Sus scrofa: one gene and its partners. The protein of the gene in region 1 binds, or shares a complex with, the protein of each later gene. Links are inferred from orthologs where the notes say so. Each region holds a gene or a part of one and is shown on either strand. Other genes may lie near its edges. The genes, in order: ARVCF, SRSF1, PA2G4 and DDX5.

Evidence for each region.
Region 2: ARVCF (region 1) and SRSF1 share a complex: the UniProt entries of both Homo sapiens proteins name them as parts of the ribonucleoprotein complex. The link is inferred for Sus scrofa from reciprocal best matches to the Homo sapiens genes ARVCF and SRSF1.
Region 3: ARVCF (region 1) and PA2G4 share a complex: the UniProt entries of both Homo sapiens proteins name them as parts of the ribonucleoprotein complex. The link is inferred for Sus scrofa from reciprocal best matches to the Homo sapiens genes ARVCF and PA2G4.
Region 4: ARVCF (region 1) and DDX5 share a complex: the UniProt entries of both Homo sapiens proteins name them as parts of the ribonucleoprotein complex. The link is inferred for Sus scrofa from reciprocal best matches to the Homo sapiens genes ARVCF and DDX5.

The regions. Positions count from the first base shown.
Region 1 is NC_010456.5:51,403,630-51,410,508, forward strand, and holds part of ARVCF (armadillo repeat protein deleted in velo-cardio-facial syndrome), read right to left. Parts: intron 6,592-6,879; coding exon 6,420-6,591; intron 5,907-6,419; coding exon 5,889-5,906; intron 4,957-5,888; coding exon 4,885-4,956; intron 3,840-4,884; coding exon 3,712-3,839; intron 3,520-3,711; coding exon 3,369-3,519; intron 3,271-3,368; coding exon 3,072-3,270; intron 2,989-3,071; coding exon 2,877-2,988; intron 2,782-2,876; coding exon 2,691-2,781; intron 2,407-2,690; coding exon 2,350-2,406; intron 2,014-2,349; coding exon 1,928-2,013; intron 1,443-1,927; coding exon 1,335-1,442; 3' UTR 1,323-1,334; intron 970-1,322; coding exon of another isoform or gene 943-969; 3' UTR 1-942. UniProt on the Homo sapiens protein: Contributes to the regulation of alternative splicing of pre-mRNAs.
Region 2 is NC_010454.4:34,277,735-34,285,755, reverse strand, and holds SRSF1 (serine/arginine-rich splicing factor 1), read left to right. Parts: upstream 1-3,637; 5' UTR 3,638-3,727; coding exon 3,728-3,921; exon of another isoform or gene 3,922-4,348; intron 4,349-4,356; coding exon 4,357-4,541; intron 4,542-4,887; coding exon 4,888-5,060; intron 5,061-5,263; coding exon 5,264-5,458; 3' UTR 5,459-7,391; downstream 7,392-8,021. UniProt on the Homo sapiens protein: Plays a role in preventing exon skipping, ensuring the accuracy of splicing and regulating alternative splicing.
Region 3 is NC_010447.5:21,492,969-21,500,754, reverse strand, and holds the start of PA2G4 (proliferation-associated protein 2G4), read right to left. Parts: upstream 4,759-7,786; 5' UTR 4,564-4,758; coding exon 4,476-4,563; intron 3,312-4,475; exon of another isoform or gene 3,191-3,311; intron 2,379-3,190; coding exon 2,250-2,378; intron 1,997-2,249; coding exon 1,891-1,996; intron 1,799-1,890; coding exon 1,729-1,798; intron 1,603-1,728; coding exon 1,510-1,602; intron 1-1,509. Other genes in the region: ERBB3 (receptor tyrosine-protein kinase erbB-3), read right to left, coding at 6,843-7,366, 7,551-7,786. UniProt on the Homo sapiens protein: May play a role in a ERBB3-regulated signal transduction pathway. Seems be involved in growth regulation. Acts a corepressor of the androgen receptor (AR) and is regulated by the ERBB3 ligand neuregulin-1/heregulin (HRG).
Region 4 is NC_010454.4:14,568,913-14,576,930, reverse strand, and holds the start of DDX5 (probable ATP-dependent RNA helicase DDX5), read right to left. Parts: upstream 4,201-8,018; 5' UTR 3,782-4,200; coding exon 3,603-3,781; intron 3,172-3,602; coding exon 3,006-3,171; intron 2,628-3,005; coding exon 2,531-2,627; intron 2,449-2,530; coding exon 2,315-2,448; intron 2,202-2,314; coding exon 2,136-2,201; intron 1,892-2,135; coding exon 1,750-1,891; intron 1,671-1,749; coding exon 1,510-1,670; intron 1,417-1,509; coding exon 1,244-1,416; intron 908-1,243; coding exon 797-907; intron 240-796; coding exon 178-239; intron 27-177; coding exon 1-26. Other genes in the region: CEP95 (centrosomal protein of 95 kDa), read left to right, coding at 5,419-5,437, 7,152-7,280. UniProt on the Homo sapiens protein: Involved in the alternative regulation of pre-mRNA splicing; its RNA helicase activity is necessary for increasing tau exon 10 inclusion and occurs in a RBM4-dependent manner. Binds to the tau pre-mRNA in the stem-loop region downstream of exon 10.

The DNA of each region.
Region 1 (6,879 bases):
GTTGGGGTCCTAGATCCCAGGGTCACCCTCCTGATTGGGTCCACCTGTGCCCAAGACCAGCCACCAGGCAGGACACTATCCCGGGCCTCAGGGCCCTGCTAACCACCCAGGATCAAGCCTACTGCTCTTTGTGTATAGAATGAGAATGCCTGTGGGGAAACAGCCATGGGGCCTAGGAGGTGAGCTCCCACTGGACACAGCAGACATCACAGAGGTGGGGGCCACCTCCGCCCACCCAGCAAATGAGGGGGCAGTGGTGGAGAGGGAGTTGAGCCTCAGAAGACAGAAAGTTCCTTTACTGCTTTTTTTAATTTTCAAGTTTTCTTACAAAAATTTAGATGTTTACCAATACAGTCTTTAATGCTTTTCGTCAGTGTTTTTCTTGTTTATAAGTCGCAAACAGCAGGCACTGAACAGCAGTCCCCCCACTGCTGCCAAAGGTCAGTCCCAGAAGTGCCCCTCGGGCCAGAGCTGCGCAGGAGAGGCCCAGCTGTGGGCCCCACGCGTCCAAGGGCGGGTGGGGCAAGCAGCCTGACCCCCTGCTCACTGCCTCCAAAGCCTCCGTGTGCGCCGACCCTGAGCAGCCCCAGACTAGGGGCCCAGGGAAGCCCCTCCACCCTCCAGGTCCGACTCCTTCCCTGAGCGCCCCCTGCACGGCTGCGGGGCCCTAGGACCCACCAGGCGGCCCTCGCCTGGGTCGGCCAGCGCCCCGCCAGCCTCTCACTCGGACACAGCACCACGTGGGTGAACTAACTGGCCCAGGACTTGGGAGGGAAAGAGTGAGGGCGGGGAGGGAGACGTGTCCAGAATGGCCGCCCCACCCCCCCGCCCCCGCTCCGGCTCTGTCGAGAGGCGCTACCGGCCCCCGCCGCCAGGGGGCGCCGAGCTCCACAGCTGGCTCTGCGCGGCCAGCGCTGATGTCCCTTCTTCGGAGATCAGATCCTAGGAACCAAAGGCTGGGCCCAGACCCTGAGAAGGGAGAAGGGCGGGCTGAGCGAACCGGGAAGTGGAGCGAATGGAGGTGTGGACAGACGTGGGCAGCTGCCCCCCAACTTGCAGGTCCTCGAGGATGGGACCGTGCTTGGGGCGTTCGAAGGTGTGGAGGGACCCCACCCCCTGCCCCATCTGGCCCCATGCCCTCCGGGACCCGATAGCTCCTCCCTCTTAGACTCTGGCCCTTCATCCCTCCCGTGGCTTTACAGGACCGCTGAGCTCAAGGCCAGCCTGCGGGGAGCGCGCGGGGAGAATAGAGCAGACAGCCAGCGAGGTGAGGTCCTGCCTGGATAGGCAAGGTCGGGTGGGTGGAGGTCAGACAAACGTACCCGGCATGCAAACTAGACCCAGGAGTCAACGGGCTGAGGCTTAGCATCCCCCACGGCGTCCACCAGCCTGACCGCGGGCCTGCTGGGCCCCAGAGGAGGAACCTTCCTGGTGGGGTTGGGCTGCAGCAGACAGGCAGTGGGCAGGAGAGCATTAGAAGCAGAACAAGGCAGGTTAGTCAGGGCTGGCTGGTGGGGGCTGAGTGGTCAGTGGGCAGGGCTGGGGGCAAAGGGAGCTGAGCAAGTGTGGCTCAGAGCTGCTGAGTGAGTGTGGCTGAGAAGAGTCCTGTGCCCAAAGCATTGGCGCAGAGCAGGCATCAAGGGCTGCCCTGGAGGCGAGGCCATGCAGGCCATCGCACGCACACGCATGCAGGGAGGGATGCAGACACGCTTGCTCAGGCTCCCCCAACAGCCCTCTGTCCTGTGCCTCCTCTCTCCCAGTGGCTATGAGCTTCCAACCACTTGCACCCGCAGGCTGGCTCCAATGGGAGGTTGCTGAGACAGAAGGGCCACTCCCTGAACCAGTCTCTTGGCCCAGTGGCCGGCCTGCAAGTGAGTCCCACCCCGGGCCCAAGGCAATCCCTGGACACCTGCCCACAGCCACTTACTTTCAACGGTTCCTTTTCAGAGGCCTCCCCTGTAGGGTCACTGCCTCGAGCTCTCCGCTCCCTCCGGTCAACGGTGGAGTACCCATCTGCAGGGTGTAGGCAGGAAGGGAACTCTGGAGCAGGCACCAAGAAACCAATGTCCTGGTGCAAGGGGCCCTGGGCCTGGGTGCATCTGGAGAGGCCCTCCAACTGCCCACTCTGAATCAGGCCTTCTCACAGTGGGGCCTTGAAGCCTCTCGCTTACTCCCCCACAGTGGCTCAGAACTCTCCAGCCGCCCTTCAGCTGGCTGACTGGGCACATCTGGGCAGTGACCATAACTGGCTGCCCCAGCCCTCACTCCTGAGCACCTCTAAACCAGATCTCTTTTCCAAACCCACCTTGCCACGTGGTAAACAAACAGCACACCAGCACCTGCACTCACCCGAACTAAGTGCCTCCATGGGGATCATGTCCCGGCTGCCTGGCTTCTCGCCACCATCTGCAAAGCACAGGCAGGTGGCTGGTTGGTTGCAAGTGGGGGACTACCGGTGGCCTCTGCCACCCTGGGTACCTTTTATCACTAACATCTTTACACCACTCTGCTAGGCCTCTGTCTGCTGGCACTGTTACCCCCAGCTTGATGCCATCATAGAGAGAATGGAGGACGGGAGGGGGAGGGGCGGGGGCGGGGCCATCTTCCTGGAGGGGACCCACTTCCCTCCCTGCCTCTGCCAGGTGGGCAGGTACTCCTGAACCTGGGGATGGGCCCTGCCCGGTGCTCACCGAGGCTCTTATCCACCAGCGGCAGCGTGCTGTCGTCCAAGCCTCCGGGGCTCGGAGCTGCCTTGGGCCCCTTAGCATTAGCAGCGGTCGACTGCAGTGGTGTAATACATAAACAGAGTGGGTCAGCGGTGCTCCCGTGAGGGACCCATCCGGGCAAAATGAGAGAGGAAGGGCCAGCGGCCTCACCTGGAAGCGCGCCTTGGTCCAGCCATCCCTCTGCAGGGCACCACGCAGCTCCTTGTAACTCCACACGGTCTGCAGCACGTGGGACGCGGCCTTCGCCTCCCGCGCGGATTGGCTGCGACCGGGGCGGGGTCAGCGTCTGGCCCCGCCCCGCCTATCTGGGGGACCAGCCCTGACCCCCGCCACTCCCCTACCCACCTGGCCGAGCCCAGTGCCACGAGCGCGGGCACACCACGGGCCTGCAGCAGCGAGCGCGCGTTATCCAGACTGTCGGACACGATTTCGTGAATGGTGTTGAGCACGGCCACCACTGTGTCCTCCTCCAGGCGGGCTCCCGGCAGCGCAGGGGCCTGCGCGCTGCGCACATTTCGCACCAGCTCTGCCATGGCGTAGCTCCCTGCGGGCAGGGCGGTGAGGGCGCGCCAGTGCAGGCGGGAGGGGGGCGCGAGGAGTACGGAGGGGGTCCGGACCCTAGACTCCAGTCCCTGTCCTCACCGATGAGGTCCTTGTTGCGCCGGTCCAGCGAGAGGTTGCGCAGGGCGATAGCAACGGCGCGCACCACCTTGTCAGTGTCCGACTGCAGCAGCTCCACCAGCACTGGCAGCCCGCGCTCCTTGCGCACCGTGGCGCGGATGTACGTGGCCCACTGCGGTGGGGCAGCGGGGGTGTGCTCAGCGCGGCCGCGCCGCATGCGGACACTTGCCTACCTGAGCCCTGGCCGCTACCTCCAGCTAACAGTCCTTCTCCCTCGCCGGACAAAGCCGTGCTGTGCGCCCGCCTTCACCCGGAAGCCTCCTGGGATTCCCTCTGCCCCTCCCTGCCAGGCCCGGCCTCTCACCACCCAGTTGCCAGCGCTGAGGTTCTGCAGGGCACCGGCTGCAGCCTCCAGGGTGTTGAAGTTCCGGCTCTCCGTCAGGAGGGACAGGTAGAGACGCACCACCTCGGGCTGGTACAGCAGCTCAAAGCCTGGGCGCAGACCACCCGCACCCCACCGTCAGTCAGCCCCCCACCCCCTATCAGAGAGTATTTAGCACCAACATATTCACCCCTATGGCCACCCAGGAGGAAAAGCTTTCCCATTTCACATGGGTATCAAGAGAGGCTCTGAGGCAGCAGTAAGTTTGGGGGAGGTCACTCTTCCTCTGACTCCACTGCCAAAGAAATGGGACCTGGCTGGCAGCTGGAGCCTGCAGGCAGCCTAGGGTGGGGAGGGAAGCAGCAGCCAGGCGGCTCCCCTAGGAACAGGTCTCAACTCCCTAGCAACACCCCTACATATATGGTTATGGGGGGCTCCACATCAGAGATGCTCAACCACTCCTGGTCACTCTTCACTGAGGCCTCAGCCTGGCAGTGGTACTCCAGGGATGAGGGTGGGACAGCCATCCAAACCTATCTCCATACTGGGGCTGTGTCATGGGACATCACCTTCTCCCACCCCCATGCCACCACCTCCCAGTCCTCATATCCCATGCCCCTTGCACTCCAGCTTCCTATTCACCAGATGCTCCAAGCACATACTGCACCCTGCACCCCCAGGGCATTTGCATGAGCTGGTCCCATAGCCTGTGATGCTCCCTTGGCTGGGTCCTTCTACCCTGCTTGGGGACATCTGGGCTCAAGAGGCACACCTCTCAGGCAGGATTCCCAGAACACTGCCACACACAGTATGACTCCAACAGACAGGGCAAGAAGGATGAATCTGACTGTACCCTTAGGCTCTGAACCCCTCAGAGTGAGTCTGAACTCAGCTTGCAGGGGAGACCCTGCCCGGGTAGCCCAACCCTTCAATGGGACCCCCGCCAGCCTCTCATGTGCTACGGGACCCAGCCCCCACATCCTGCTGTAAGTGACCTGTGCAGAGACCCTGATTCTGAGCCCTCAGCTGGTGACCAGGGTGTTTTCCAGGGAACCCCATACCACTGGGCCTGTTTCCCCACAGAATCTCGGCAGCCCTGCAGGCCTGCTTGGGGGCACAAAGCTTAACTCATGGACTCCACTTCCCCCCACTCACCTTTGGCAGCCTCAGTCCTCTTGGGTAGGTCCAAGGTGTCAAAGTTATGGTCCACCTCACCATCCCTCTTCCCTGGAACGGAAGGGCAGTGAGAGGTGAGGGGACCCCACATGGAGCAGCTGTGTCAGGAAAGGTGAGTACAGACTTTCCAACTCAGGACCCAGAAGTGCCCCCATGTTCAAGACTGGGCCCTGGAGGCCCTTAGAACAGAGCACTCCTCTGAGTTCAGGCCAGCAGGGAAGCCCAGGGATGGGAGTGGGCCCTGGGGGCTTGCCTTGCCCCCAGCCCTGCCTGAGCAACCAGGACTCATCCCTCATCAGAAGCTGGGGGCTGCACTGCAGACCCTGCCAATGGTCACTCCATGGCCACCACGTACATGAACTGAGGGGCTCAGAAGACCAGGCTGGGACTGGGAGGTGCAGACAGGGAAGCTAAGGGCTTGGAGGGTCAGGACACTCCTGGTCACACAGTGAAGTTGAGCTGGGGGCAAGGCAAGCCCCCCACCTCAGGCCCCTGCAGCAGCAACTCCTAACACCTGTCACACTGGCCTGCATACTTCTGTGAGAGCCAGCTCACCACCTTCCAGCCTCTGAGATAATGGACCTCCCCTTCCTTGGGTGGCAGAGCTGAATTTGGATGATCAAGGGCCCCACCCCACCTCCTGGGGCCTGAGCCACACCCCCCAAACCATCAGAGGGACAGACTCAAATCCCTGGCGCCCCTGGGGATGGACACACCCAGGTCCTGTCCACCCTGGGCTCCTGCTCCAGGCCCAGCCCAGCCACTCAGCCTCCCAACCAGTCCAGGGCTGACATTCCTGCCATTGTCGTGTCCAGGCAGTTGTCATGGAGACAGCTGCCCAGAGAAGGGACCATGATGGATGGGGCTTTCCTAACACTGGAAGGTGCTGCAGTTGTCATGGAGATGGCTGCCTGAACAACAGGGGGGTCCCTGGTGCCCACTGTGCCCATCAGGCCTGCAGGGCAGGACCAACAGGGACTTACCTTGATGGAACCATTCTTCTGGGCAGCCGGGGAAGCACAGGAGAGAGGAGAGGAACCTGAGCGAGCAGCACCCCACGCCCTCCCGGAAGGCACTGGGCACAGGGAATCTCACCCTGGTTACTTTTGAGGGCCAAGTGCACACAGTGGGACAGGGATCAGGAAAGGCGGGGAGGGGAGTGAGCATAGGTGAAGGTGGTGCACAGACACCCCTTCCCCCAAGCTGCTGGGGAGCACTGGCAGCTGCTCCCGTGGTGGAGTTGGCATCAGGGGTTGGGACAGCTCTCAGGGCCTTCAGGTGCTCTGCCAGCACCAGGAGGTGGCACCGTCCTGGTACCTTCCAAGCTGGGAAAGCTGAGGGCCTGTGTCCAGACACCAGTGCAGATGGAGGCAGTGTGGCCTGCAGCTGGGGCCCCGGGACAGCACCCCTTCCTTGGCTCCCAGACCATGACTCTCACACACATGGGTGTGAAGAGCCTTCAGCGTGCTGGGGTTGGGGGGTCCTAGAGTGGCACCCCAGTCCCACCCACACACCTTTGGCCTTCTTGCCACCAAAGCAGCCGGCGTCATCCCTCCTCCGGCGCTGGGAGCCCACAGCACCACCTGGGGGCCCAGGCTCGGCCTCCTGGTACCTGTCGGCCCCAGGCACCTCCTTGTGCACGTGGTAAGACAGGTTCCGCACGATGCACACGCAGTTCTCCACCGACTGCGGGGAGAGGGGGCTGCTGGGGCAGGGCCGGGCGGCACGGGGCTGCTGGCCCCCAGGGAAGACTGAACACAACCAGTGAGAACACAAGGGCCCGCAGATGTAGAGAATGGGAAGCCTGAGTTAGGGGCCCAGTCAGGTGATAACCCCCGGAAGGGGGTGAGGGGAGCACCTACTGGGCATAGGACCCTGTCCCAGGCCTCACAGTGTGGCCACTGCGAGGTGCCCACTCCCAGGGCGCTGCCCCAAACCCACACACCCATTCCCCTCTGTGCCGCCCAGATAGCT
Region 2 (8,021 bases), on another chromosome or scaffold:
GATGTGTAACTGAGAAGTTTAGAAACACTCCAAGGCTCCAATTAAGATGAGGATATAATCTCAGGAGCCAAAACCGAAGTGGTTACAATCAGGTTAGCAGAAATCAATTCAACTGTCTAGCAACTGTTTAGAGAAAGAAGATAAGACTACAGAAAGGGAATTGCCAATCTTGACCCAGTATTATTCAGGGAACAGAGAGACAAAATCCAGAGGGTGTGATCCTGTTGAGGGGCAGGGATCATTTATCAGGTCTCACCAAGACCTGAATCAACTCTCTCTCAAAACAACTCACTTCCTTTTCTTTTGATTCCTCACCAAGACCTGAATCAACTCTCTCTCAAAACAATTCACTTCCTTTTCTTTTGATTCCTCATTTACTAAGAAACTGCCTGATTTGCTTTCTAGACCTGCCAAAAGTTTTCTTGGTAGGTACAATCTGAATATCCTGGTTATCAAAAATGAATTGCCTAGGAGTTCCTATCATGGGGCAGTGGAAATGAATCCGACTAAGAACCATGAGGTTGCGGGTTGGATCCCTGGCCTCACTCAGTGGGTTACGGGTCCAGCGTTGCCTTAAGCTGTGGTATAGGTCCCAGACACAGCTCGGATCTGGCGCTGCTGTGACTCTGGCATAGGCCAGGGGCAACAGCTCCAACGAGACTCCTAGCCTGGGAACCAGCCCCAAAAAAGACAAAAAAAAAAAAAAGAAAAAGAAAAAGAACTGCCTCACCCCGCCCCCAGCCCCAAACAAATGAACAAATGGTTTGGATATTTGTTGTCTTGCTTTTTACTCTTGTGGACCAAAACATGCCAGTCTGGGACACTGACAGTAGAAGATCACACCCTTAAATGTAATCATTTTCAGCTAATGTCATCCTAGGAGATCTGATAAACAGCCGCCCAGACTTTTCCTGCTAGCTCCTGACCTTGTCATAGACCCTAGAACCTATAATTTGGTGACATTCAAATAAAATAAGAGAAGCTGATAGAGAAATAAGAATGTCCTATTCACTGTATACTAAATTCTACCCGCATACCTGAACAAAATCAGAAATGGCTGCATTAAATTGGACAAGAATAAATCGAAGCAAATTCATAGTTTTCTTATTTTTCTGGAATGAAGATGCCTTGAAATTATAAGCACTTATGTTTAAACTACTTTGGTTTATCAACTTAATATTAATCAACAGAAGACAAATCTGAATAACAACAAGTGAATGGAGAAAGTTAGAACAGAAAGAAACTGTGCTCAGTAAACCTACTGAATGTAAGAACCAACACATTGTACACCTGCAATTAAAAAAAAAAAAACCTCTCATCTCTTCTGCTACTAACCAAATAGGACTAAATAAATTTGTTGAAATAGTGTCCCTTTTAGTCAGCTTCTCATTTTAAAAATTATCAGTGTCTTCTTTTAAATTGAAAGTTTGGTTTAAAAATATATCATTGAGGAGTTCCTGTTGTAGCTCAGCAGGTTAAGAATCCGACTTGGGAGTTCCTGTCGTGGCACAGTGGTTAACGAATCCGACTAGGAACTATGAGGTTGCGGGTTCGGTAGCTGCCCTTGCTCAGTGGGTTAAGGATCCGGCGTTGCCGTGAGCTGTGGTGTAGGTTGCAGACGCGGCTCGGATCCCGAGTTGCTGTGGCTCTGGCATAGGCCAGTGGCTACAGCTCCGATTCGACCCCTAGCCTGGGAACCTCCATACGCTGTGGGAGCGGCCCAAGAAACAGCAAAAAGACAAAAAAAAAAAAAAAAAAAAAAGAATCCGACTAGTATCCATGAGGAGGCGAGTTCGATCCCCAACCTTGCTCAGTGGGTTAAGGACCCAGCGTTGCCGCAAGCTGTGGCATAGGTCACAGATGCAGCTCAGATCCTGCATTGCTGTGGCTGTGGTGTAGGCTGGCAGCTGCAGCTCTGATTTTAACCCTAGCCTGGAATCTTCCACATGCCGCAGGAAGAAAAAAAATATCTATCATTGGAGGATGATCTAAAAGACAAAAAAACTGTGCGATACCCAGTTTTGAAAACCATCAGATTTCAAGGACTACTACTAAAGATCTTCTGTGAATCTGTTGAGCAGCAAATTAAATTTGCATTTTGGGATTACTGAGAACACTGTTAAAATACATGCAATCGCCTTTTAGAACTGAAAACATGACCTTCTGAAAAATCTTTTTAAGGCACTTTGGATCTTGAATATACTGTTTCCTTCTTTACTGTGACTGCCATGATGACTAGGGTCAAATTTGTAATCCATCTTTAGAACTCACAAATTTTTACTGCAGCCATTTTGTGTATTAACTTTATCCATGACTTCATTTTAATTTCCCCTTATATTCTCCGTGATTTCTCCATTCAATTGCAATAACGTTTTCTGGTATCTCTGTAAACAGCATCACATCACTGGGGAGAGGGATTGATGCGAATAAATAAAAATGAAGAAAATCATCCTCTCAATCAGGGTGCAGACCTGTTTCAGCATATTTATGACAGGGTTTTTTTTTTAATTTGAATTCACCATTAATATTTTAAAATCCCAGTATTTCATATAAAAATCCAGATTTCAGATGGCTCCGTGGCAAAATGTAACAAGTTCTTATCTCCCTGGACCAACATGCTGGCGAGATGAGTCCTTAAGCCGCCACTTCGGTCTCCAGTGGTCACAGAAATCCTCACACATCCACTTTGCTCATTCATATTACCTGAGAGATTTGCTAATGAGTTCCAAAAAAGGAAGGAACGTCAGGATTCTGCAATACAAACAGGAGGGCGCGCGTCTTTTTCGTTCTTTGAAAGACGTTGTAGAAATAACAGACACAATTCATTCTGCAAACCTTCACTGGACCTCTCCGCTGCGCTGGGCCCTGGCGATAGGTGATTTAAAAAAGAAGCAGAGGTCTGGGTCCTGGTTGGCTGATGCCGCCAGGAATTACCGCCACGAGCACAAGGAGCGTTGAACTGAGGTCAGTTCTGAACCGAAGGTGGAACGGTACTTAGCGTAGAATATTTATTAAAGCGTCTCAGCCAGGTTCCCCTGCATTAGACAGTCGTCCAAGCAGTCCACGGCCCGTTCGCAGATGGGGCGGGAAGACAAAGTCACGTCTCGGCTCCGCGTTGATTCACCCGCAACGCGACTCCTGAACGAGGTGCACTCTCCAAGGATGCCCGTGTTTCCGGAGCAACCGCCTGGTCCCTCCCCCTTTGACTCCGCCCCCGGCAGTCTTTCCCGCCAAAGGCCGTTAACAGCGCAGAGCATGGTGGGACCTAGCTTTAGGCTAGGTTTCACCAAATACTTTCAAGACGCCGTTTTTTTGAGAGAAACATTCCTGAGGAAACTGCTGATTCTTTAGGATTCGACAGAGATTAATAACCCCTTTTACGAGAGCTCTATATTTAATTTTGCCACAAGGCTGGTCACTCCCTTATTAAACCCCTCGACAAATCGGGAAGGCGGGAACTTTTTTCCCTTCGCGCGGAGGGTGACGTCGCGCTTGCGCGAGCGTCACTCTCGCAGCACCCGTTACGCTCTTGCGCGTGCGTAGTGAGATCGAATAGCTGCTTCCTCCCGCTTCTCTTCCTCCCTCCCCCCCATATCCGTGCGCCGAGCTGATAAAGGCGCCATTTTGGAGGGGCCGCGGGAGACGTGGTGTCGCTGCGGGCTCGCTCTCCCGCTCGCTAGGCTTGGTGGGAAGGCCTGTTCTCGAGTCCGCGCTTTTCGTCGCCGCCATGTCGGGAGGTGGTGTGATCCGTGGCCCGGCAGGGAACAACGATTGCCGCATCTACGTGGGTAACTTACCTCCAGACATCCGAACCAAGGACATTGAGGACGTGTTCTACAAATACGGTGCTATCCGCGACATCGACCTGAAGAATCGCCGCGGAGGACCGCCCTTCGCCTTCGTTGAGTTCGAGGACCCGCGGTGAGGCGGCCAGGGGCTTGCGGCCTTGAGGAAATAGGTTGGAGTAGTTGGGGAAGGCTCCGGGGCCTTCACTTGGGGAATGGGGCGGTGGGTTCTTGGGTTGGGGGCCAGACGATATCGCCCATGCAGGAGTCGAGTAAGGAGCCGAGTCGGCGTGGCTCCTCTGGTGGCCGGGCCCCACGGACGTCCCTAGAGCCGACTCGCAGGCTCGGAGCGGGAAACTGAGGCGCCGAGGGCTGCTGGAGTGGTCGGGAGCCTGGCGTGCTTCTGGGTGGGGGAGGGGCCGTTCCTATTATGCGGCGCATGTGGGCTCTTCCACCCCGGTGCGCATGTGCGGGGGCCCGCTCGCTCCCCGGCGGAGTGAGCCGCCCCTCCTGGCCCTTTTTTTTTTTTTTTCTTCTTTTCCTTACCCCTTGGCTTTCTCTGGTCACGCAGAGACGCAGAAGACGCGGTGTATGGTCGCGACGGCTATGATTACGATGGATACCGTCTGCGGGTGGAGTTTCCTCGAAGCGGCCGTGGTACCGGCCGAGGCGGCGGCGGGGGTGGTGGCGGCGGGGCTCCCCGAGGGCGCTATGGCCCCCCATCCAGGCGTTCTGAAAACAGAGTGGTTGTCTCTGGTGAGTTGGCGGGTCCGTGCGGATTGATGATAAGGGGACCGCACACCGTTTTGAAGTTTTTCTTGGTGTTTTCATGCCAGGTCTTCACTTAAACCGGAGTGCCTTGGGTGACTTTAGTTAACAAGGACTACTCTATTTGAGACTTAGCGAATTAGGTTGCAGTACCTAGAAGATAAGAAGAGCCTTAACTTTACAAATAATTTTGGACTCTTGATTCCGAACTCTTTTAACAGCTCGTTAAACGGGATGTTAAAGACCGTTGGTTTTAAGTCTTGTTTTAATGTAACCTTTATGTTTAATGTGAAACTTAGGATAATTGGTATTGAAAGAAAACGCACTTTTTCAGGACTGCCTCCAAGTGGAAGCTGGCAGGATTTGAAGGATCACATGCGTGAAGCAGGTGATGTATGTTATGCTGATGTTTACCGAGATGGCACTGGTGTCGTGGAGTTTGTACGGAAAGAAGATATGACCTATGCAGTTCGAAAACTGGATAACACTAAGTTTAGATCTCATGAGGTAGGTTATATTCTTTTCCTTGGCCAGAATTGGATACAGTGGTCTTAACAGTGGAATTTGAAGGTAAGATTCAGGCAAGGGTGTCCAAGTAAAAACCCAGTAAAGTGCCAGATTTCTGGTTTGAGTTACGTTGATTCATTCAGCATGCCTGAAGACAGGTGAAAGCTTAGATCTTTCAATCGAAAGTTCTGTCTATCCAATAGGGAGAAACTGCCTACATCCGGGTTAAAGTTGATGGGCCCAGAAGTCCAAGTTATGGAAGATCTCGATCTCGAAGCCGTAGTCGTAGCAGAAGCCGTAGCAGAAGCAACAGCAGGAGTCGCAGTTATTCCCCAAGGAGAAGCAGAGGATCACCACGCTATTCTCCCCGTCATAGCAGATCTCGCTCTCGTACATAAGATGATTGGTGACACTTTTTTGTAGAACCCATGTTGTATACAGTTTTCCTTTATTCAGTACAATCTTTTCATTTTTTAATTCAAAACTGTTTTTGTTCAGAGTGGGCTAAAGTGTTGAATTGCATTCTTGTGTAATATCCCCTTGCTCCTAACATCTACATTCCCCTCATGTCTGATAAATTGTATTTTAAGTGATGTCATAGACAGGATTGTTTAAATTTAGTTAACTCTCCATGCTCTTCAGACTGTGATACTGTGTAAATGTCTATTCTGCTCTGGTTTGTGTGAACTGGGATGTTGGGGGTGTTGGTGGTTATCTTACCTGGGGAAGTTCTTATGTTTATCTTGCTTTTCATGTGTCTTTCTGTAGACATATCTGAAGAGATGGATTAAGAATGCTTTGGATTAAGGATTGTGGAGCACATTTCAATCATTTTAGGATTGTCAAAAGGAGGATTGAGGAGGATCAGATCAATAATGGAGGCAATGGTATGACTCCAAGTGCTATTGTCACAGATGAAATTGGCAGTATTGACCTTATACTAAAAGGCAAGGGTTTAAAGTGATTATATACATCTATCTTAAAACACTTGAAAACATTTTATGCAGTTATATTTGGCTACAATTGCTTTACTCTTTAAAACTCTGGCAATTGTGGCAAAATTACATGGCCCATTTTGTAACAATTTGTTTTGCTCCCTTCCCTTTTTTGTTTTATTAGGGACTAATGTGGGAAGAACTGATTAATTTGTCACAGTGCTTAGTTACAACTGTTAATGTGTGACCTGCTGTTGGTGTACTTGTGGGTACAGGGTGTCTTTAATTCCAACCAGATAGAGTATAATATCAATACTGCTAAATCTGCATGTCCTCTGTGTGACTGATATAATAGCGTTGCTACTTCATTTTTTTAAGACAAAATGAAAGCAAAATAATAGAATTCCAATTTATTGGTGTAGATAATCTAGTTGGGAATACTTTTTAAGTCTCACGTTCCCCTTTAATATTCATAATTGACTCATGTTTAAAACACTTTAATTTACAAATTAAATTGCAGTTGGGAGCATTAGATTTAGTTTAGACTTAGGTGGGTAGCAATACCAGTAAACTTTTAAACTACATAACTTTTTGCAACCACAAAACCTGTAATACGCTGTACAGTAACAAGTGTTGGCATTATCAGTTGAACTGTAAATATAAAATGCTTCTTCCAGTTAGTCTCTATGATGATTAAGTTTCTAAAATTTATCTGAACACCATTCAGAAACTTGTTTTGGGGAATTTGATAGTTATTGATGTACATCTGTTAAACTGATGACAGACATAACTCATCATTCCCCAGAAACCTTTTTTGATTACAGTATCTAACATTTTGCCTCCTCTTTTTTGGTTTTGCTGGTTATAAAGGTTTGGATTGGAGAGGGCTCACTGGATCCCAATCCTTGGAGCTGGATCATTGGATTCAAATCATAATGTGGATAGGATAGGGAGGATGAATTACAAGGATTCATGGAGCGGGATCAGATTACCAGGAACATAGGAGTGGATTCCTGCCCCAACCAAACCGCATTCGTGTGGATTTTTTTTTTTTTTTTTTTTTTATTCAACTTAATTGGCTATTCCAAAGATTTTTTTTTTTTTCCTATTTTTGACGATTGGAGCCCTTAAGATGCACGATGGAATTGTGTTTTGCATTTTTGGTAAAAGGAGCAAAGCGAGGACCTGGAGATAAACGCTGGAGCAATCTCCTTGGAAGGATTCAGCACGAGTAGATGGTAAACATTTAAAGGGGAAAGGGGGGGTTTGTTTAAAATAGTAAATCAGTAAGTCACTTCTAAATTTAAAGAAAACAAAATTGGAGTTGAAGAATAAGTAGGTTTCCAATTGGCTATTGCCATTTTTCTTTGAAAAAAATAAACATTTTTTAAAAAACTATGCATGGTTGTCCTTTTTCCTCTTGTAAGATTTTTTTTTACTGAGTGACTTAACTAGTCTCACTTTAAATTTATAAGATACTGATTCTCGTGTTTATGTGTTAGTAAATTAAAGGTTCTTTGAAGTTTTCTAATAAATGCTATTAGCCACTGTTAATTCTTGTAAAAGTCTTCAGGGGACGATAAGGTGAGAATACACCAACTGTATGTAATGGTAACTGAGGGGGGGGTCATCTAGTCTCTGAAAAATAAGCTTCCAGTATTTTAATTAAAAAGTGATTAAGGAGTTCCCGTTGTGGCTCAGTGGTTAACAAATATGACTAGGAGCCATGAGGTTGCAGGTTCGATCCCTGGCCTCACTCAGTGGGTTAGGGATCCAGCATTGCTGTGATCTGTGGTGTAGTGTAGTTCACAGATGCGGCTCGGATCTGGTGTGGCTGTGGCATAGGCCGGTGGCTACAGCTCTGATTAGACCCCTAGCCTGGGAACCTCCATGTGCTGTGGGTGCAGCCCTAGAAAAGAAAAAAAAGATTAAAAGTTTATAGATGGCTGCTTATGTTTAGTGATCGTATAGGCAGCATAGGGTTTTGTGCAAAATTTGGTGATGACTAGGTGACTAGTGTTGCACT
Region 3 (7,786 bases), on another chromosome or scaffold:
ACAACAAAAAAATACAGTTCTCATTGGTTTTCCATTTCATAGCCCTACAACCTAGAAATCACATTTGTGTACCATTTTACAAAGCGCTTTCACGAAGATGGTCTACTTAGACAACAATCCTGGAAGATGAACAGAGCAGGTCTCTATCACAACCTAGAGGAAACTGATGTTCAGAAAGGCTAAATGACTTGCCCAGGGTTCAACCAGTTAACTGAAAGAATCTGGTATAAACCTAGGTTTTCTGACAATAGTCCGGTGGTTAGTCCATTAGGCATGGCATTTTAACCTACCTAGCTCTTATTTTCCCCTTCTTATCTCTTTCAAATATGATCTGATCCTCACCTAAACTACCATTCAAAAGAAAAGTAAATTATCAATCACAGCTATTATTAAACTATACGCCAGATACTGTGATAATCACTTTATGTGGATCATCTCAGTACTCACAACCCTGTGAGAATGAGGGATAAGTTAAATTTTTTCCATTTTACAGACAGATGAGGAAATAATGTGTAAAATCATAGCTAACACAACATTCACTATGTGGAAGGCACCGTTCAAAGTGCTCTATAACAGCTCTATGAATTAGGTATCAATATAGGAAAGCTACAACAGAGATTTAAGTTCAAATGATGCAATTAAGTAACAATGGGGACAAATCGATGAAAAGTACCAAAAACAAACAAGAGCATAGAAAAGGAGCAACAAAAAGAGAAAAAAAGAAAGAGGATGCTCTAAGTATTAAATAGGTCTCTGGAAGCGTAAGTGTTAGAGAAACGTCTCCACTGGTAACACACCAAATTCATGAGAAGGGTGATCCCTGAGCTTCCTAATATTGTCACGCGAGGGCCTCCGGCCTCTCTTTGCCACTGGTTTATTGATACTATCATGAATCTTGTTTTATGAGCTTCTAAAATTGAGTTTCTACATATGTTTTATTGTATGCTATCAATCTCGAATTATTTGGGGGAAAGATGCACAACCAAAACATGAAAAGAGAAGGATCTCTATGGGCTCCATGAGGAAGGGGCCACATATCCCCTTACACCCAGCATGAAACCATGCATCCATCTAAGGCAGGCACTCAGAGTTAAATTGTTTGGTATTAAGCTCTTTGTTCCTGCCTCTTCTCTTTTAGAAATCCCAACCTAAAATGTAGCTGATTTTAAAAAAAGTTGTTGGGGAGTTCCCATCGTGGTGCAGCAGAAATGAATCCAACTAGGAACCATGAAGTTGTGGGTTTGGTCCCTGGCCTCGTTCAGTGGATTGAGGATCCGGTGTTGCTGTGAGCTGTGGCATAGGCCGGCGGCTAAAGCTCCGATTGGACCCCTAGCCTGGGAATATATAAACTCCATATGCCACGGATGCGGCCCTAAAAAGCAAAAAAAAAAGTTTGTTTTAGAAGGAGGCTGTAAGAGAAGTTGGCAGTTCAATACAGAATAGCTACATGCAGATGCCTCATGCACCCCTGGCTCTATCAGCCTTTGGAATTGGACTAAAACAGCTTACCTGGTTTCCAGGTTTAACAAGGCGTAGGGCAGCCTCAGCACAAAGGTGAGCTGCCTTAATGACATCTGCTTTCCGCCCTGTTACTTGGGTTCCCTGTAGATAAGGAAATGCAGTCAGTGCCTTCCTGGACCAGTCTTTAACTCAGCTGGTCATTCAGGTAATATCTATGTACCCTTACGTAAGGGCAGCCAGTGGTCAGGAGAGAAGCAGTTCACTTACCAGAGCTACATCAACCACAAAAGTGTGAGCCACATTAGCGATGAAGCCATCCACGTGGACCCCAAGGTCACTGAAAGACAAGAGCAGAGAAGAGCATTAGCAACCGGCACTACTGTGAATGCTTAGGACAAAGACAAGTGCTCTGAAATGGCTTAAGCTTACATTTTTACCAAGTCACCTTCCTTGAGAATATAGTCCTGGTCGCTCTTCAAAGGGGAGAAGTGACATACACAGTTATTTACTGAAATGCTGGTGGGAAAGGCAATACCTGTAAAGAGACAATCAGCCTTATTGCCTTGCGTGCTCTCTTAGAGGCCTGCTGCCCCTCAGAAAGATGAAAGAATTTTCATCAGGGTCTTGCCTAAGTTTAATCAGTTTGGATTAGATGGGAAACTGCTTGAATCCCCCTTATCATTCCAAATATCTCAACCAGTGCTGGAGCTGGGGGTGCATCATTATAATAAAACAAACAGGACTGAATAAGGGTCAAATGCAGGAAATTAGTGGGGGATTATTTTTACCTTTCTTCATTTCTTTTTCTTTCTTGAAAATTTTCCCTGTCTCTTCCATTATCATGGCATCCCCTTTCTCGCACAGGCTCAGTACCGACACACCTGAACAGGAAGCTTCCACCAAAGACCGAAGTACCCCTGGGAACAGAATCCCATTGGATCAGTCCTGCAAGTGTTGTCTAAGTTACCATCTAAGCAATACCTCAAAGCTAAACATTTCCTGGTGCCATTGCTTTAAGGATGAAAGAGAGAACAAGTTGTGCCTCTTGGGAGTTCCCATGGTGGCGCAGTGGTTAACGAATCCGACTAGGAACCATGAGGTTGCGGGTTCGATCCCTGCCCTTGCTCAGTGGGCTAAGGATCTGGCGTTGCCGTGAGCTGCGGTGTAGGTTGCAGACGCAGCTCGGATCCCACATTGCTGTAGCCCTGGTGTAGGCCGGTCGGTGGCTACAGCTCTGATTCGACCCCTAGCCTGGGAATCTCCATATGCCGAGGGAGTGGCCCTGGAAAAGGCAAAAAGACAAAAAAAAAAAAAAAAAAAAAAAAAAGTTGTGCCTCTTGGAATGTACTTACCTATCCATCTCTAAATTGCTACCTTCCTTTCCTAAAAAGAGCCAACACTTCCTTATACATTGTGACAACTGGTGACACTGTATGCACTGTCTGTCTCCCTAGGCAAGGCAGACTTTCCCAAGATGATAGCTGAGGTGTGCAGGACAGAGTCATGAACTTCAAGGAGGTTCTCAGCAAGGTATCCAACACACTGGCAAAGCAGACTGGGGGAAATTTATAGGCGTCAGGGACAACAGGAGGGCAGACATAGAATTGCTGACCCGAAGCTGATGCATTGTTAAATGCTACCTTCTTCCCTTCCCAGACACCCCAATTAAGTGTTAGTAATCTCAATATGTAGACTTATTTCTTTATATAACAAGTCAAGGAGACTTAACCTAAGGTCTCTGGGCTTCAGCAAGCTTGGGCTTATAGCTTTTAGCAGATCTCAATGAGGTATGTGACCCAAAAGAGTTTCCAACTGGTATCTGGAATCCCAAGTGCCTCAGAAGTTATAAACTGCAAGAGGAAAAAAAAGTTTTTCTGTTTTCAAACCACTAAATGTCCATTATGTTATAAAGCATTGTTCTGTTCACTGGATATCCTCTCCAAGGCCCAAAGTGAACTATAGGTTTGATTTTTGTGATCCAAGTTTTGGGGATTTTTTGGAAGTTTGAAAAACTCAGGTTTTTAGCCATAGGATCAAAGGCATCCTAAATACCTATCTTTACTGTCAAAACCATTTAAAAGCCCAAAGACAAGCATCTTCTGTCCCCTAACTGGGTTTTAAATCGCAAAGAGAGAAAAGAGAAAGTGAGACATCTGCCTAGAGTGGCAGGCAGCTGCTGAGAAGTCTGAGCGAGCCCCCATAAGGATAACTTCCGAGATCCTATAAAGTCAGTCTCCCCTTTACCAGTGCTCTACACAGGTTTGCCTGGTTGGGGTGAAAAGAACCTCAAAACACTCCTAGAGCTGTCAAACCCCTGAGAGCAATCAAATTTGACAACTAACTAAAGCTATCTGCGCAGATTGGAGATGATAACTTCAAGAACAACCAGATACGTCTCCAAGAGTTATGTTAGGGGTTCTCCAGGGGTACCCTCCAACGGTCCCTGAGCTGGCCCAAGAGTAGAAGGCGGCCCCCTCCAGGGAGGGAGCTGAAGTAAAGAACGAAAGACTACAGCAAAGCACGTGGTAGGGAAGCTAGTGTCAGGGACTGTAGCGGAGGAAGGGAGCCGGCGATCCGCTGGGGACCCGGCAACACGTGCCGGCTAGGCTCCTGACGGCGGGGAGCAGCGACAAAATAGAGGAGCGTTTCGTTTCCGAGGTGGCCTCCCTGCTGCCAAAATCAGAGGCAGAGATCCAGACAGAAGGATGAAGAGCAGGACATACGCCCTGCCTCCTTACCAAGGGCCTAGGGTCGGAGCCAGCCGGGGCCCCGCTCTGCGCTCTTCCCTGCCACCCGCCTGCATCTTCACAGACTCCAGCCCAGGCCTAGCCGCTCAGGTCCCAAACGCGATAACGAGCCTTCCCACCACGCCAAACCCAGCAGACCCGCGGGGGGCCCTCACTAGCCCACTCTGCATGACCCCACCGCTCCAGCCCCTCACCGGCTCGTCAAGCACCGTCCCCCTTGCCTCTCCCTCCCAGCCTCGATCTCCGGACCCCCGAGGCCGCACTCACGGTTGGCGATGTCGCCCCCCATCTTATACTTGGTCACGACCAGGTCCTCGGCGATAGTCTGCTCCTGTTGCTCGTCCTCGCCCGACATCTTCCCACCACCACCACCGCAGCCTCGTTTCTCCTGAGCCGCTGCCTCTGTCGCCCTTCCCAACCACAGGCTGTGGCCAGAGCCCCTTCGATCCGCGAGGAGAGCGCGAGCAAAAGCGCGAGCAAGCTAGGGAGCGGGCGGGCGAGAGCGAGAAACTGCGAGCGCGCGGGCTGATGCGCAGGGCATGCTGGGACAACGAGTCCCTCCCGCCGCCAGCCTCTAGCTGCCCTCGCGGACTCGCGAACTACAATTCCCAGCCTGCCTTTCGCGCCCCTAAGCCAGGCCCTGGGGCCTTGCCCTCCGAGGGCCTCGCACGCCGGAATCGCCAAGCACGCTGGGAAGGGTCAGGCTCCGGCGGGAAGGCGGAGCCGTTGGAGAGCATGAGGGGAAGCGTGGTCTCTCCCGGAAAAACCATATCCACCAGGAGCGCTGAGCGAGAACCCGTAATAGAGGGAGGCGGGCTAAGGGAGAAGGGGGCGGAGCTACGGCGGGGACGTGGGTTTGGAGGCTGCGGGGCAGGGTGGAGCAGAGACGAGTGGGGGTGATTGTATCAAGGGCGGGGAGGCTGGGTACGCCCTTCCTCGGATCCCTGGAGCGGCAGGCGGACCGGCCTGGCCAGTCCGATCGTCCTCAGGTGCTGGGAGGGGCAGAGCGAGTGTGGAAGGAGACCCGGAGTGCGTGGAGCAGGGACTAACTGGGCACCAGATTTCTGTGGGATTATCCATGTACAGCCTTCCAAGTCTAGAGGCCGGCTCCCTCTGAAGATGGCACTATTGTTCCAACAACAGGCTTTGATGGCACCTAAGACGGACACTTTTTTTTAAAGTTGTGAAACGTTTGAGAGTTTCAGTATTCTACCTCTTGGGGCCTTTTCTAACTGCCCCAAACGTGTTTTGTTTGGTTGTTTTGTTACTCCCAGTTAGTCGGTTGCCCTATACAGATTCCTAGTAAAACGCTTAAATGAAAAGGACTGTACCCTTTGCTTGTCTAAAGAGACTATAAGGAAAGTGGGGCTGGAGAAAGCTACAGGGGGCCAAGTAGGACTGTGGGGAGACAGAGAAGGAAGCATGCCATGGTAGCCATTCTCTGCTGTGGAACGGAGAAAAGGGCTGATCTGTCCACTCACTAAAGTTTGTCGTTAGACAAGAAGCTGCAAAACCTTGGCATCTTTATTCAGACATGTATAAAAACAAAACAAAAACTTGAGGGATAAAAACAGATACTCCCAGTTTCCCATTCAAAGGAACTGAGGTCTGAAGCCGGGTCCTCTTTTTCATCTCCACTGGAAGCTTCCCACTACTGAATGAGAACTGCTCCTAAAAAATGGCTCTGGGGACCGTCTGAGTCTGTCCCTTAGGCAGATATCATATGTAGCACACGAAGATTACGGTTTACACAGAGATGTCCAGTTATTTTTCCTTCTGTCCACCCCCTTACTCCCACTTGCTGAGATGAGCAGTCCAGGTGTAGGAGGAGGCTGTGGATATTGGGGTTAGACTTGATTCAGTGCAAACACAAGAAGACAATACCTCTTACTAGTGCTCTGACTTTCATCAGTTTTCTTTGACACCTTACACTAAGAGCATGGTGCATTGGAAAATTTTGAATCCTGGACCTGCTACTTGATTTACTTAATCTCCTTAAGGCTCAGTTTCCTTATTTGTAAAATGGGATAATGCCTAGCTCACAGAATTGGTGTCAAGGATTAAGTGAGATGGGTAAGTTTAGATGATACTTGGCACACAGTCAACGTTCAATGAACAGTAATCATTACTATATACTCCCAACCTCTTTCTTCACAAGATTTTTAAGCATCTCATTCTTTCTAGGGGGTTAAGAATCATAAGCCAAAAATCTCACTTTCTCCTGCCATTTTCCCTCCTTTCCTCTTCCTTAAAAGTCTGCTGGGAAACAAAGTCACACTTTAAAGCCTAGTCTCAACAAGTCAGAGTCTGAGAGAAAGGGATATGGGGAGGAATCCTTCATATCTCCAGGGAGTTCCCCTGAGAAAGTTGAGGAATAGGATTGGGAAAGAGCACAAAATAAGGAAAACTATCTCCTTTCCTGGGATTGGGAAAGAGAAGAAAGTGCACAGCTGGCTATATACCACAAGAACGTTGTGTCAACACGTTTAAGGCCTCCAAAGTTTGAATGGAATTGTCTGGGACTAGGGAAATGGCGCTGAGACCTGTGAGGGAGAGGGGCTAAAGAGAAGAGGGGTACCCTCTAGAGGCACTAGCTGCCATCAAATGCTCCCTGAGGTATTCAGGAAGCAGAGGTTATGTTCTCTGGGCATTAGCCTTGGGGAAAAGCCTGCTATGCCAGTAATCCGGGTTATCAAAGGCGGAGTCAGTGGCTTCTAAACTACGTAGAGTTTTGAGGCGGGCATAATGGACCTGAGGGCCATGGTGTCCAGGCCCCTGGAAAGCTCTCATTTCTTCATACCCTTGCTCAGCTGCTGGGCAGGCCTCCATGGCTGCATAATCCCCCCCAGGACCCCCTCCACCACGTCGCCGATTCATATATTCATAGTCCTCATCTGGAGTTGTGCTGGCATTGGGCATGGTGGGCACAGGGTTGAGTGGGCAACTCTGTGTGCTGCCCAGGGAAGCACTGAGGTCTGATCCCACATCCATGTACTCATAACCCAGCTCCTCGAGGGAACTTGGCCTTGGGGGACGAGCTGGACTGCACCTTCTCCTCCGGTTCATGTATTCATACTCCTCATCTTCTTCTTCTTCCTCGGTCCCCAGGACAGAACTGAGACCGACTGAAGAAAGGGTGCCTTCCCGGGAGGAGGTACCTGGGGGGTTGAGAAGAGCAGCTAAGTATGTGGAGAACTCCATGGAAAGAGGCAATGGGGTTGGGGGCGGTTAGGAAAAAAATGAATAGGGAGGGATATGATGAACGAAGACAAAAGGATTAAGGGGAGCCTGCAGAAGGAGGAGTAGAGAAAGATTTGAGGAAGCGACTAGGGAGTCAGGCACCTTTGAGGTGTGCGTCTGGCATGACATAACCATTGACATCCTCTTCCTCTAACCCTGGTGGGGACTGTGGGGTGACAGGAGTGAGCAGGCTGTGGCGCTGGGAATGGTAGGCACTGTCTCCTCGTGGCCGAGGGCTCCGGCTCCGGCTTCTACACATCGATACCTTCTCCTGGAGCTCAGCTTCAGAGCCTGTCACGTGGCCCTCCGATGACTCTGATGTCAGGCGTCCCCGTGGC
Region 4 (8,018 bases), on another chromosome or scaffold:
AATAGGAGCTTTTCCATGTTTGAATTCTGCCAAAAAAAAAAAAAAAGTATATATATATATATATATATATATATATATATACACACACACACACACACACACACACACGAAAATAACTGACCAAAATGGAATTTAGGTTCTGGTGGTGGTGGGGAACCTTTCACTTGAAATACTTACCATTTAGAACCCAGTCACGTTCCTGTTGACTTTTGTCACCATGGATACCCATGGCAGGCCACCTAAATTAAAGAGAAGTTGTATTAATACACTCACATTTAAACATCAAAGTCTAACTGTCAGAATTTAATTAAGCACATAAACATTTTTGGTCAAAGATCCTTTTAATTTCAAATAATGTATCTACGCTCTCATTTATACCATCAGATTATCCCCATTGATGAAAGTCAAAATCCATCAGGAGCTCCCTTCATGGCTCAGGAGTAATGAACTGCATTAGAATCCATGACGACGCAGGTTCAATCCCTGGACTCTTTCAGTGGGTTAGAATCTGGCAATGCCATGAGCTGTGGTCTAAGTCATAGACACAGCTCAGATCCTGCATTGCTGTGGCTATGGTGTAAACCAGCAGCTACAGCTCGGGTTCAACCCCCAGCCTGGGAACTTCCATATGCTGCTGCAGGTGCAGCCCTAAAAACACAAAAAACAAAACAGAAAAGGAAAAAAAACCAAAACAAAAAAACAACCCACCTCAAGTCTAACGTTACTAAAGTTTCTGCCCTCCCCCTAAACTCAGCTCTTATTAATACATCTGCTTCAATGGAGGAAGCCCACATACCCATCTCTCCTCATTTTCCTAGTAAGTTCATCACATCTTCTTTTGGTTTCAACAAAAACAATGGTTTTATTTTCCTTCTCACTCATGATCTCTTCCATTAGGCGAATAAGTCTTTAAAGAAACAAAAAATTGTGAATTCTAAGTTATAGTCAGCAAAACACTAACTTCAACTCATATGGCTACAAGTCAAACACCTGCTTAAACGTATAAACAGTCTATCCTTGGTCTTGCCCCTGTTAAGACAGATCTTTTTTTCTATAGATGATAGAAACATGATGACAACCAATTACATGAACAAAGGAAGCAAAACAATTTTCAGAACAATGAATAGACCAATTTCAACAGCCAGATTCCAGTATGACTGAAAGTCATGTTTAAGGTAACCTATAAATGCATGACTCAATTTGTACAATAAAGTTGTTTTTAGAGTTATTAAGACTGACTTACTTTTCATCCTTTTCCACATCATGACACACATCCACAATCTGAAGAATGTTGTGATTTGCACTCAGTTCTAGTGCACCAATGTTTATATGAATATAGTCTTTCAGGAAATCTTCAGCGAGCTGTCTTACTTCTTTTGGCCAAGTAGCACTCCACATGAGGGTTTGCCTATCAGGCTAAAGATTTTTGGAATAAAGAAAAAGCCTTGTATTCTAAGAATAAATTTAGAGCAAAGTTTGAAAAGATAGACACATTTAAAGAGTACTTACTCTTATCTGATCCACAATTTTCCTTATTTGGGGTTCGAATCCCATATCCAGCATTCTATCTGCTTCATCAAGGACAAGGTAGGTGGTCCGTCTTAGATTGGTTTTCCCACATTCTAAAAAGTCAATCAGTCTTCCAGGTGTCGCGATACAGATTTCCACACCTTTAAACACAAAAATGTAACCAAGACATCTAGAATTTTAGCACCACCAGTGACAAATCAAACACTTTCTGTTTTGTACCTCTCTCCAAATCACGTATCTGTGGTCCCTTAGGAGCACCACCGTAGATGCAGGTGGACTTCAAGCGACACGCTCTACAGTATTCAGCAGCTACTTGCTGTACCTGTTGGGCCAGTTCTCGAGTTGGTGCCAGCACCAAGCACTAAGAAAAGAGAAAGTGGAATGAATACCTTTCAGCAGAGTTCCGGAGTCTACTTTTGAAGTGATGATATATCAGTGTTACAGCAGCACATGACTTATTTTGCTGTCCAATACCTAGAGCAGATTTGTTTCCAGATAAATGGTACAAAACAGCTAACGTCTCCACTTAAAATCACCACAAATTGTCATTTGCTTTCTACTGGACAAATCTCTGTACTTTTAAACAAAGCTTAAGGTATACTTACAATAGGTCCATCACCTCTCTCTAGGAATGGCTGATGATTGATGTGGACAATAGCAGGGAGCAAATACTGTTCAGAGAAGGGGCAAACAGAAGTTACACATTAAAATATTTCTGGTTTCTTTTAACTTCCAACCCATTTCCTCAATCACTCGACACAGAATTACAAGTTGCCCAACTTACAGATAATGTTTTCCCAGATCCAGTTTGTGCTACCCCAACCATATCCAATCCACTTAGAGCAACAGGCCATCCCTGAGCTTGAATAGCAGTGGGTTCAGTAAAGTTCTGCCTCGCAATCACATCCATTACGTTTGCTGTAATCATAAACAAGTAAGTTAAAATTAGAAATGCCGAGAGAAAGAATTTTTTTTTAAGGTAGGGAAAACTAGCACTTACCAGGAAAGTTTGCTTCATAAAAATTCAGAACTGGCTTTGGGCAGTTGTGACCTCTAACTGTAATTTCCTTGCTTCTTCTGTATGTCTCTACCTCTTGCTACAAAACAAATTACAAAAATCCAGTTGTCTTCTCATGACAACTCCCCTTAACTGAAAATGCAACCAATAAGCTCCTAAATTCATAATTGACTTAACTACTTTAAGATGGCCTTTTAAAATTTGGATCCATATAAAAACCCTAAACAAACAAAAACCACTTATTACGTTACACCCAACCATTTTAAGTAGAAAAAGTCACTTGTCTCCAAAAGTGAGTAGTAACTCCTCTTCCCCAAAGTAAGTAAGATCCTTACTTACTCAGCATGAGTTCCCCAAAACTTAGTTATGTGCAGGGAACTTCTAGTCAGATTTTGATTCACTGCAAAGTTATTAATTATTGAATTACAGCCTGAAGAAACCACATGAAATTACTTACTGCTGTTCGCCTAGCCAAATCAGGGTGTTCTTGATAAAAATTCTTCTCAAATTTGGGCAGCTCATCAAGATTCCACTTCTTTTTAACCAGTTTCTCCCCAGGGTTTCCAAACTTCTTTCCAGATAAGGGCCCTGCCCTACTTCCTCCAAATCGAGGCGCACCAAACCTGAAATTAAAAAGTCACATCTTCGAACACGTACAGACATATTAACCACCCCTTGGCACATGCTAAATATCAAAGACTTCCAGGTGGAACAGACGGTCATTCTCTCAAAAGCCACAATTAGCACCGCATCCTTTTCATTTCCCGTTGTACCAAGTACACGCCATTGAACCCAAATCATCAGCCCGGGATTTCACAGGTCGGAAAGTGGCTGCCCGAATGCCAGAAGTTCAGATTACAAGGAGCGTCAATAGTTGGGGCTACTAATCTCTCCCATGAACTTAAAAACTAAATATCTGAGAGAAAGACAAGAAAGGATAAGCCTAACAGCGATGTTATCTACCAGCTGTTCTCAAGCAAAGGAGCTTTGATTTTAATAGATAACGGAACAGCACACAGAGCAGAAAAAGGTGGGTTATCTCGCGGACACTTACGCAAGCCGAATGACTTGGAGAGATGCCCCAGAAAGGACCGCGATCAAGGTAGCAAAATTATATAAACGTAAGGAAAAAGAAAAGGAGGCGTTGGAGACTACCGGGGGAGGAGTCCCTGCCGGGCGGAGTCGGCCGGGCGGCGTTCCCGCTGGGGCGGCGCTTCCCCCTTTGTCTCGCATTTCTCTCTGCGCCACATTTTCTCGACGCTGCCATTTTGAGCTCCTCCGCCGGGCGGGGTAACAAAGGCGCCGCCGCCATGTCCGATGCCGGCATTTTGTACCCGCGGCTCAGCCACATGGCCGATTCCCGCGGTGCCGGTCACCGTCCTGCCCCCGCCGCAATAACGGCATCGGAGACGGCCCCCTCGCCACCCACAAAATTCCTGGGGCCCCCAAAACACCTTCCGAAAGGTTGCACCTAACAGCAGCGATTTCGTCCGCCTCGAAGCGCTGCGCTCCCCTCCCTTCGAAATACGCTCCTTGGAATTCTCCCAAGAGCTGATAAATCATCGAGGCCGCGATGCCCCATCCCAGACAAAAGAAGAGATCTCGAGAACCATTAACATGAAACTCCCAGGCAGTTTCAAAAATATCAAAATGGCGCAAGCCTTTGAGGGACGAGGCCCAAACATAGGCTGAGGAAGCCGAATTCCCGTCGCCACCCCGCCCCCCCGCATCGGCATCCCATCCCCCACCCACAGGGCCTGACAGGTCAGTTCCCACACTCACCCTCGATCCCGGCCGCGGTCTCGGTCACTTGAATAACTCGACATGGCGTCAATGGTTGCGGTTGGCGGGAAACAAAGCACAGAGAATCGGGTGCGACAAGTCGCTGGAGGTGGCTTCGACGACGGCGAAGCCTTGCGGGGGCGGCAGCGGCGGAGGGACGGCGATGACAGGAGCCCAAGCTGCCCGACAAGAGACCGGTGGAAATGAATGAGGTGCCGGCCGCGTCCCGGCAGCCGGTTTTATAGCCTGGACCGCCTCCTCCGCCGCAGAGAACGCTGGGAGCTGCTCTATGACCTAATCACCCCGCCCCTGCGCCGAGGCCGCACCGCCCGCGGGCGTTCCGAAATCCGCCATGTTCTCGCCCCTCCTTCTCCTCCCCCCACCCAAACCATCCCTCCCGTTTTTCACTCCTTTCAAGGGTGGGTCCATCCACCCACTACTGGGAAGCCTCAGTTTTTACTCTCTTGACTTCACCTTTTCCTTGTCTTCCACACTTCAAGGAAGTCGCCCCGCCCTTTTTCAGGTCCAGCACGAACAATGAAATGGCCCACCCAGACCAAGCCACTTGGTTCTCTTGGAAATGTTTACGTCTCCAAAGGGCCCTCACGCCCACAACCCGGCGAGACGGGTAGGCGGAGCCTGACATTGTCACGTGACTCCCCCCCCGCCCACCGGGTGAGCGGGCCGCACTACTTTTCCAGATGGCGTCGGCGGAGGAGTACAAAACGAAATCGCTCGCCGGAAGTGCAGTGCTATTGCCCGGGGAGACCGGCCAGGTCGGCTGGTTGACCCGCGGGGCTGTTAAACCCACCCACCTGAGAACTCCTTAGCGGGATCTGGTCGGCGGAGAATGGTATTTAGAGCTCGCAAACCGCCGCCCCAGCGCGTGCTGCGAAAGGAAGTGGTCCTGTGGTGACCAATCAGCAACGAGAAGCGGTTTTAACGTCCCTCCCTTTTTAATCCCTCCTTCCCGGCACTTTCGTTTGCTTCCCCCTCCTGTCAGCACTGGGTCTGCGGCGTGCGGCCCTCCCTGAGCTCCGTCCCGCGCGCACCGGGCCAAGAGTCCGACAGCGGCCTGCCTTCTCGACATGGCCGGCTCAGAGGCTGGTGAGTCTCGGCCTGTCGCTCCGGTGTGTGTGGACGAAGTCGTCCTCTCTAAATCCCCTAACGTCCCTGCCACTTTTACCTTGAGGCCTCGGGCGGGTTTGGGCGGCCGGCGGGGCTGGTGACACCCCGTGATAGTTGGCGGGCTCTCTGGGTAGGGTCTCATCCCCGCTCCCTGGCTCTTTCCGGGTTGTGGGGTGCGGTTTTGGGGGTGGGTTAGAAGGGCCCTTGCGGTGAGGCCCGTAGCGCACGCAACCTGGCTGCGAAAAGGGCAGTCGCGTAGCTTCCCCGGACTCGTATTTTTCTGGGGAATCCACCCACTCACTGTGCCTGCAGTTCTTGCATTGCGAGGACTGAGGTAGCTAGTACCTGCATCTTTATTTGAACATTGGAGGACCGGCCCTCTTTAAGATCTGTTGATGCCCCCGGCCAATAGCAGAACCGTGGTGGACTTCACTCTTCTGTGATCTCTAGACTCATTCGCTTTGTCTAGTACCGCTTTTGAAAGGCGAATTGATTTGGTTGTCTAGGACGCTTTCATCCTTTTCTCCAAGACAGCGTTCAAACCTGTTGTCATGGTTTGGTCAGCTGTGAGTACTGAACTTTGGGAGAGGGAGATAACATGCCTTGAAGACGCTTTCACACGGAAACTCGCACTTGTTTCTAGAACATACTTAAGAGAACGCACACAGAATAAAAGAACGTTCCCGTCAATTGCAAATTGTTTCAGGTTTTTCTAAGTTTCCTTTGGCCGACAAACTCTTGAAATAACTTTGCTCATCTTATCAGTATCTAGGGTAGGGAGGGTGACAGCAGGAAACTTCAGCAGTATTGGTAATGTGCTAATTTTGAATGTAGAGACGTTTTTGTGTATTTACCATATTTCTTTTCATGTGCACAAAATATAATTTAAAAAATTAAAAACTGCAGTAGTGTTGGTGTCATTACTCCAGTTCTTAACAGCCTCAGTTAATCACCACTTATTTGGGCACCAGAGAAATTCCAACTTGGGCAAGATAATTGGGTAACATCATGACTAATGCTATTGGGATTTTGAAGCAACATCTATTAATTAGTTTCTGGTGACCTTTCGTATATGAGATAATGTTCCTGACTTCTTGTAAATATATTTTAAATAAAAATCTACGTATAGCTTCTAAAATAAGGTGTAGAGTAATTTGAGATTTTAGTTTGGAACAGTAAAAATTGAGTTTGCATCATAGTTTTGTGGGTTTTTTGTTTGCCTTTTTTTTTTTTTTTTGCTTTTTAGAGCTGCACCTGTAGCTTATTGACATTCCCTGGTAGGGGTCAAATCAGAGCAGCAGCTGCTGGCCTACACCACAGCCACAGCAACACAGCATCTGAGCCTCATCCCCAACCTATACCACAGCTCAGGGCAATGCTGGATCCTTAATCCATTGAGTGAGGCCAGGAATTGAACCCAGGTCCCCATGAATGCTGGTAGGTTTGTTACCAGCAAGCCACAATGAGAATTCCTGCATGATAGTTTCGACAACATTGAAATTATAGCATTTTGTAAATCATCCCAAAAAATTAAATACATTTAAAAAAAATCATGCCTAGGACAGTCTGAGATTCTCTAACAATCGAATTTCTTATTTTCTGTAGAATACAATGTCTGCTTTTGTGAGGTTTTTTAAATAAACGTATATACTCTTTGCAGTTAGGCTGATCTTTTCCCTTCCTTTCCCAACAGATTGGGTAACTGTTGCCAATAATCTTCTCTTGAAATGTCACATACACCTGAGGATTAGAGAACTAGAAGATTGTGATGCTAATGTTTTTATTGCTCTTTATCAATCCATTTTGGGAGAAAAGGTACCAGGTAAGGGTACTAAAAAATTGGGAGTAATAGTATCTGTATCAGAGGCTGGAAGTTTCCGGTGCTTTTAGTTATGTCCTGTAGCATATATAAAATCTTAAGCTTTCTCTTTGTGTGCATCTTAGTTATATCTAATTATAGGCATTCATTGTTTTAATACCTATGCTAACCATCTATAACAACAGCCTTGGTCATCCACTGTTTAATAATCATGCCTAATGTTCTGTGAAAGTCACACCTTTTCTGTAAATGTATCTTCATAGGTTCTAAAATTGAGTGGAACTTGGAAGTTGTTGTCTTGGTATTTAACCAGTGTTGTGGGTAAGAATTGTTAGCACTGTGTCCTTGGTTAGATATCTCCGTCTTATCCATAGGTTCCTTTGCTGCCACTGTATCTTTATATAATTTATAACCATTAAGCACTAAAGCTCTGTATAGTTTCTCTTATTTTCCCTGTGTTATGGTGCTCTCCTCACTTTTTGGAGTAATGGGATGGCCTCTAACTGGTATCTTTCTTTCTTTCTTTCTTTTTTTTTTTGATATCTTTCTCATTAGTCTCAGTTCTCTTTATAGCTCAGAGGCATGTAGTTATTAGATCAGCTTTTTTTTTGGCCACCCGGCAGCATATGGAGTTCCTAGGCCAGGGATCAGATCTGAGCCGCAGTCGTGACCCAGGCAGCAGCTACAGTAATGCTGGATCCTTAACCCACTGTGCTGGGCTGGGAATCAAACCTGCATCCT